Mus musculus: one gene and its partner. Each later gene encodes a partner of the first gene's protein in a complex. Links are inferred from orthologs where the notes say so. Each region holds a gene or a part of one and is shown on either strand. Other genes may lie near its edges. The genes, in order: Sirt5 and Prdx1.

Region 1 (3,817 bases):
GCATGAACTTGTGATCCTCCTGCCTCAACCTTTGAAATAGCAGGGATTACAAGCCTGGGCCAAAAGGCTAGCTTTAAAAAAAAAATCTGACTTCTTGGCCAGATGTGGTAGTGGCGCACATCTTTAACCCCAGCCCTCAGGAGGCAGAGGCAGGTAGATCTCTGAGTTCAAGACTGAGACCAGCATGGTCTACAGAGTGAGTTTCAGAACAGCCAGGGATACAAAGGGAAACCCTGTCTTGAACCTGCTCCCCAAGAAAGAAAGAAAGAAAGAAAGAAAGAAAGAAAGAAAGAAAGAAAGAAAGAAAGAAAGAAAGAGAGAGAGAAAGAGGAAAGGAAAGGAAAGGAAAGGAAAGGAAAGGAAAGGAAAGGAAAGGAAAGGAAGAAGAAAGAAAGAAAAGGAAGGAAGGAAGGAAGGAAGGAAGGAAGGAAGGAAGGAAGGGAGGGAGGGAGGGAGGGAGAGATACAGGGTCTGGGTGTCCTGGAACTCACAGAGGTCTGGTTTGCCTTGTTTTGTTATGCGCACATGCTCTGGCCTGCGTGTGTGTGTGTGTGTGTGTGTGTGTGTGTGTGTGTGTGTGTGTATGAGTAGGTAGAGGTCAGAGATGAACTAGGGCATCTGCCCCTATTGCCCTCCGTATTATCTGCTGAGGTAGAGTCTCTCATTGAACATGGAGGTTGCTGTTTTGGCTAGACTGGCTGTCTAGCAAGCCCCAAGGATGTCTGTCAGCCCTGGGGTTTTAGGTACAGTGGCAAGGCCTAGCTCTTCTGGGAGTCTTGAGAAGCCACACTGGGGTTCTCTTGTTTGCCTAGTGAGCCCTTTAGCACTGATCTTCTTCCAGGCCCCGAGGAACTAACTCCCTTTGGAAGCACTGTTTCAGTGCCTGGTTTTAAAAAAACCGACATTTTAAAAATCAAATGTACTTTATAACAATACGAAAGTATATTTCAATTATTTTTAGATTTATTTACTTTATGTGTATGAATATTCTGAATGCATTTAAGTATGTGCACCAAGAAGATGCAGTGCCCTCAAGGCCAGGAGAGAGCCTCAGATCCCCTGGAAATGGAGTTACAGGCAGTTGGGAATGATCAGGTGGGTGCTAGGAATTGAACCCAGGTCCTCTGGATCGGCAGCCAGTGCTCTTAACCACTGACCCATCTCTCCAGCCCCAATTTTTTTTAGTTCTGTCATTTCACCTTTGCAAGACCTTTGCCACCTCCTCAGTCTTGGCCTGGGAGACACGCAGAGGAAGAGGACGAGGGCTACTTACTAATTATACTATAAATGCTCTCTAATGGTAATTAGAATGTGATTCCGGTGCACAGATCACCTTCTGTCACGTCCCTGCTTCAGAAACTTCCCAGACCCCAAGGGATCTGTCAAGACACAGAGAGATCAAAGTCAGGCAGTTTCTGTGTAGCTGCTTGAACACCGGGGGCAGAAAGATCACTTGAGCCTAGGAGCTTGAGGCTAGCTTGGGCAACATAGTAAACCTGGCTCTCTAAAAAGGACTGGAAGATGCTTCATCTTTTGTCCTTTCAACCCTAGACTGCGAGGTCAGGGACCATTGCTACATCGGTGCACTTAAAAGGCATCTCCCTAAACCGGAAAAAAAAAGTTAAGATTTTGATTTTTATACTTTTTTTTTTTTTTTTACTTTATATACAATGGTACTCTGCCTGCACGTATGTCTGTATGAGGGTGTCAGATCCCTCCAAACTGGAATTGTGGGCAGTTGTAAACTGCCCTGGGAGTGCTGGGAATTGAACATTTGGAAGAGCAGCTAATGTTCCTAACCACTGAGCCATCTCTCCTGCCCTCCAATCTTGAACACCAGATAGACATCAGTTTTGTTTTGTTTTTTTGTTTTGTTTTGTTTTTTTTTGTTGCAAACCACATGAGGCTTTATTCGGGAAAGCCAGAGCTCTGGGGACGACTCATATCCCACGTTTGTTTTGTTTTGTTTTGTTTTGTTTTGTTTTGTTTTGTTTTGTTTTGTTTTACCTACCGGGGAAGTTTGTCGACTGGGATTCTGGCGTCTTGAGTCTCTGGCTCTGGGGCCCTGGAGCAAATAGCATTAAAGAGAATGAATACTGATGGTAAAGTCAAGAAACAGAGGAAGAAGGTGACGTGGCCCTTTGTGCATTTGCCTGGTGGCGCATGGTACAAAGCTTGCTCATGTGTGCTAACTTAGTAGGGTTAACCCGCAATACTGACTTCAACAGGAAGCTGTGTCAGGGAGTCTGAGTGGGATAATTCTGATACTTCTCCAATGACACCATGTTAGGATTTTGCTTCTATACATTTATACTGCTCTGAAACGGTCCAGAAGATATTTTTTTTTCCAGTAGTTTATGTTGGCTCCAAATTTTCCTAATTGTAAACAATAATACACATCCATCATGAAAATGTTAGGGAAATCCCTATGATCTGAAGGAGAAATAAAAATGACTCATAATGTCCCCGTTCCTGAAGGTCACAGTTAACCCTTTGCTGTGTGTTTCTTGTGGTCTTTTCACTAATATACAGATATGTGGAGACAGGATGTGAACTTGTGTAAATAAAACTTTGGAATCACACCACAGCAAAGAACTCTGGCACCTTACAGTTATGAGTCAAGTTTTCCTTTCATCAAATATCTGTACCGCATCTAGTCTTGCACTTTAGATATAGCCACTGGAAAAAAAACAAAAAAAAGGAAGAAAAATATCCACTGGAATCTTCAGTGAACTTTCAATGTCCTTATAGTTATGTTCAGTTAGAGGAGAGATAGCGTTTATTCTGCAGTATGCTATACTTACCCTTTTCCTGCTAAAGCTGGGCAGATCGGACTCCTATAGTTCTCGGCAACAGTGCCACACGAGGTACACCGAGTTTTAAATAAGGTTCCTGAAAAAAAAGATAAGTGACAAGCAAGTTCAGCACTCAGTATTAAAGTCTCCCTGTCTGAGAGGCCAGACAATACTTAGTCATCCTACGTGCATTTTTATGGTTAGGTCCACCCTAGGAATCATGGGAAATATAAAAACACACTGTCTTAGTCACTGTCCTATGGCTGTCAAGAGACCAAGGCAACCCCCAGAATAGAAAGAATTTAATTGTGGGCTTATTTATAGTTTCAGAGGGCTATTCTATTATCGTCACGGTGGCGGCAAAGTGGGGCACAATGGGAACATGGTGGGGACATGATGGGGGCATGGTGGGGGCACAGTGGGAGCATGGTGGGGGCATGGTGGGAACACGGTGGGGGCATAGCGGGAACATGGAAGCACTCATGACATTGGAACTGTAACAGCTCCGCAGGAAGAGAGAGCAACACTGGCCTAATCTCAAAACCCACCCCTAGTAATACACTTCCTCCGACAAGGACACACCTCCTAATTCTCCTCAAATACTGCCAATCCTTGATGACTAAGAGTTCAAATATATGGGCCTCTGGGGGCCATTTTTATTCAGACCACCGCACATGTACAACCGTTTAACCAACCAAAACCAGATGCTTTCAAGGTCATCACGACTTAGAGAAGATATGGCTATGACTGCATGCATGGCTAACCTCATGCAGCTGACTCTGGAATGATGTCCAGGCGTAGCTGGAGTGGTCCAGAGAGAAGCAACTGCTCTGCCTGAAGCTAAGGGTCTGAGTTACTAACTAGATGCTTAATTATAAAAGGCCAGTGGGCTGGGGAAGACGAGGCAGCTGTTCAGGGTTTAGATTCACACCTAAAAGGTCACAGAATCTTACCTATGATTTAATAGAACTTGAATCTCCTCTAGCACCGAAACTCAGAAAATGAGCAATTAACTAACAAAA
Region 2 (3,817 bases), on another chromosome or scaffold:
GGCGGGTGAGATAGCTCAGTGGTTAAGAGCATTGACTTCTCTTCCAAAGGTTCTGAGTTCAAATCCCAGCAACCACATGGCTCACAACCACCCATAATGAGATCTGAAGCCCTCTTCTGGCACATCTGAAGACAGCTACTGTGTACTTAATGTATAATAAGTCTTTGGGCTGGATGGACTGAGAGTGGGGCTGGCTGATGTGAGCGGGGCTGACTGGAGCAAGCTGGGTTGACCAGAGCAAGCAGAGGTCTTAAAATTCAATTCCCAACAACCACATGAAGACTCACAACCATCTGTACAGCTATAGTACTCATATACTTAAATAAATAACAAAAAATTTCACGTACCACATAGACCAAAAACTTACCATGCCAGATGACAGAAGTGAGAATCCACAGAAGCGCCAATCACTTGGCAGTTGAGTTTCTTAAATTCATCGGCTCTATCACTGAAAGCAATGATCTCCGTGGGACACACAAAAGTAAAGTCAAGAGGGTAAAAGAAGAACACAACATATTTTCCTGTGGGGGGAAAAAGCAATCAAGAAGTTAGCTTTGAAGCTGAGTTTCTGATCTAGGGGCACTGATAACATGCCTAAAGTCCCAGCATTCAGGACAGTTGCTGTAAGTTGAGGTCAACCTGAACCACGCAGAGTAAGAACCAGGCCAGCCAGGTTTAGAAACCCTGTCTGAATGAAAACAAGAAATTTCCAAAAGATTCTTTTGCAGACATTTTCCTGTAGAAGATTTTAATCACCAACACGGTAATCAATGTTAGCATAGTTAATAAAGACAGCTCTTAGCAGCTACTTTTATAACCTTTGTACCAAGAAAGCCTAAATTAAAATGACTGTTTCTTCTTTGGTTTGCTAACTATAGAATAAACACTATTCAGTCAATTTTGATCTTCTGAGAGGTTAATATTAGCATACACACCAAGTTCTTTTCACACTGAAAAAAAAGGGGGGCAAGAATGCAATTCATCTAGTAAATGATCTACAAACTGAACCCAGAACATCAAAGAACATCAAGTGTGCTGGTACACTCAGAAAGTAAAGGTAAGTCAGGGTGAGATCCAGTAGCAGGAAGACTGAGCTCCAAGCCAGCTTCAGGATGCATAGTGAAAGTCTCTAACAATGCCCCCACCTCAAAAACACACCCACACCCACGCAAAAAGCCTGGATGTGGGTAGCAAACACTGCCTGTAATTCAGCATTCCAAAATCCAGCATTCAGGAGGCAGAAGCAGGAAAATCACAAGTTCAAGACCAGCCTAGGCTATTTAATAAATTCCAAGGAGACCCCATCTCAAAAACAAAACTTCTGAATGGTAGCAACATATGCCTAGCAGATGAACCTCTGAGTACAAGGTCATCCTGGTCTATAGAGCAAGTTCCAGAACAATCAAAGCCACAGAGAAACCCTGTCTCAAAAAACCGAATAAAACAAAAAAGTTGGGGATAGAAACTCAACATCATAATCCCATGACTTGGGAGGTAGGGAACAGGAGAATCAAGACTTAGGTCATCCAGCAGTTTGTTTTTTTTTAAGATTTATTTATTTATTTATTTATTATATGTAAATACACAGTGGCTGTCTTCCGACACACCAGAAGAGGGCGTCAGATCTTGTTACGGGTGGTTGTGAACCACCATATGGTTGCTGGGATTTGAATCATGACCTTCAGAAGAGCAGTCGGTGCTTTTACCCGTTGAGCCATCTCACCATCCCCATCCAGCAGTTTTAAGATCTGGCTACTCTTCTAGAACCCCCAAATTTCATTTCCAGCATCCACATGATGGTTCACAATTGCCTATAATTTCAACCCAGAGTGTCCAACACACTTTTCTGGCTTCTTCCAGCACCAGACAGACATGCATGGGTAATGCAGACAAAACACCCACACATTATTTACACACACACACACACACACACACACACACTCACACACACTCACACACACTCTCTCTCTCTTAGGGAAAAAAAAGTAGCCGGGCAGTACTGGCACACATTTTTAATCCCAGCACTTGGGAGGCAGAGGCAGGCGGATTTCTAAGTTCAAAGCCAGCCTGGTCTACAGAGTGAGTTCCAGGACAGCCAGGGCTACACAGAGAAATCCTGTCTAAAAAAAAAACAAAAACAAAAACAAAAACCAACAACAAAGACAAAGAGTCAAGTCAGACCCTTTATACAATGATGCAAGAAATAATTAAGTGATCTCCTGAGTAATTTTCTCCCCTTCCATCTTGTTATATTCAGGGTTTCTTGATTCTGCTGTTAAGATGTGTTATTAACAGACTAGTTGTCTGAATCTATCTTGAATAGGACTAGTGATATTATAGAATTCAACTAATTAACCCTATTTTTTATGTAGGTCCCATGGATTAGATAACTTGAAGCCCCTCAAGCTTGTGCAGCAAACTTTCACCTAATGAACAATGTTTCCAGGCTTCATGGGTTATGTTTAATGTCATAAATCACAATTGTGTTCCTAACAAGTCCAACAGGACATGACAAGAAAAATGTTGCAACCAAAAGAACGCTAAGTACCGGTAGGTAACAGGACCTCTAGCTCCAATTTTACTTTAGTAACTGAGATTACCAAAGCAAATCTTCAAGGCTATGAAGCCTCTCACCATGCCTAACGGCTAAACTACTTACTGGAACGTTTTCAAATACCTACTTATTTTCAGGTGGTAACTATGACTGAAAGTCAAAACAAGCAGTCTTTGACTCATCTAAGCAATCTCTCTGTGGCTTTGCTTAATAAGCACTTTGAAGCCTCAGCAGACCAAGCCCTACAGGGCAGAGAGCAAGCACTCCTCCCAAGACCATGTGCCAGGGTCACCTCTACCTCCCAAGAGGTAGGTACTATTTAAACTGTTTGCCAGTGAGATCTTCTCCATACAACCCACAGCATCTGTTCTCATCCCAACTACAAAGTGTGATGTCAGGAAATCTAACTGAATATTTTACTCAAAAGCTATCTCCAGAAACTCATATACCACTAAAGAAGGTACATTTAAAACCAGAGTTTGCAGCTTGTACCTAAGAAATCTATAGTCGCAATGGTCTCAAAAGACCTAATTACCCTGAGATGGCAAGGCAAGGGAGAAAGAATGCAGACTAGAGAGATACCTCAGCATTTACAGGTATATTGCTGCTCTTGCCAAGAACTCTGGTTAAAATCTAAACATCTACAACCATCTGTAAGTACAGTCTCAGGAGTTCCAACACCTATGCACACAAGCAGACCAAGTTCCAGGACAGTCAAGATTACATAGAGAAAGAAACCTTGCCTCAAAAAACAAAACAAAAACAGAAATGATCAGATATAATTGATAGATTTGTTTTGCCTTTTTTTTTTTTTTTCCGGTTTCCTGAGACAGGGTTCCTCTGTATAGCCCTGGAACTCACTCTGTAGACCAGGCTGGCCTCGAATTGTTTTGCTTTTTTCTTTTTCTTTTTTCCAGACAGGGTCCCACCATGCAGCTTTAGCTGACCCGAAATCCACCTGCTACACCACTCCATTCACTACACCTAGCTAGGAGCTAAATTTTTTAAAAGGAGAGAAGGTAAACCATCAACAGAACCTACCAAGTATCTGCATGAAACTATGGTAAAAACAAAAGGTAATTGGAGTGTCAAGTCTTCCCTTTGAGCAAAAGCAAAGCCACAGCTCCAAAGACTTGATTTGTAAGACCAAATGTAGTTTTTTTAAAAAAAATGAGCTGAAGGTGACTGAAAAGTTGGCTTGGCAATTAATCATAATGGCTGCTCTTTTAGAGGACCCAGTAGAAATATGGAGGCTCAAAAACA

What was found.
Region 2: the proteins of Sirt5 (region 1) and Prdx1 are in contact, whole or in part, in a crystal structure (PDB 8Z54), measured with the Homo sapiens proteins. The link is inferred for Mus musculus from reciprocal best matches to the Homo sapiens genes SIRT5 and PRDX1. Residues at the interface, in NP_001363727.1 of Homo sapiens: Ala86, Tyr102, Arg105, Gln140, Ile142, His158, Val220, Val221, Trp222, Phe223, Gly224, Glu225, Asn226, Leu227, Leu232, Val253, Val254, Tyr255, Pro256; in NP_001189360.1 of Homo sapiens: Phe195, Ser196, Lys197, Gln198.

The regions. Positions count from the first base shown.
Region 1 is NC_000079.6:43,378,748-43,382,564, reverse strand, and holds part of Sirt5 (NAD-dependent protein deacylase sirtuin-5, mitochondrial), read right to left. Parts: intron 2,893-3,817; coding exon 2,805-2,892; intron 2,066-2,804; coding exon 2,012-2,065; intron 1-2,011. UniProt on the Homo sapiens protein: NAD-dependent lysine demalonylase, desuccinylase and deglutarylase that specifically removes malonyl, succinyl and glutaryl groups on target proteins.
Region 2 is NC_000070.6:116,688,480-116,692,296, reverse strand, and holds part of Prdx1 (peroxiredoxin-1), read right to left. Parts: intron 522-3,817; coding exon 368-521; intron 1-367. UniProt on the Homo sapiens protein: Thiol-specific peroxidase that catalyzes the reduction of hydrogen peroxide and organic hydroperoxides to water and alcohols, respectively.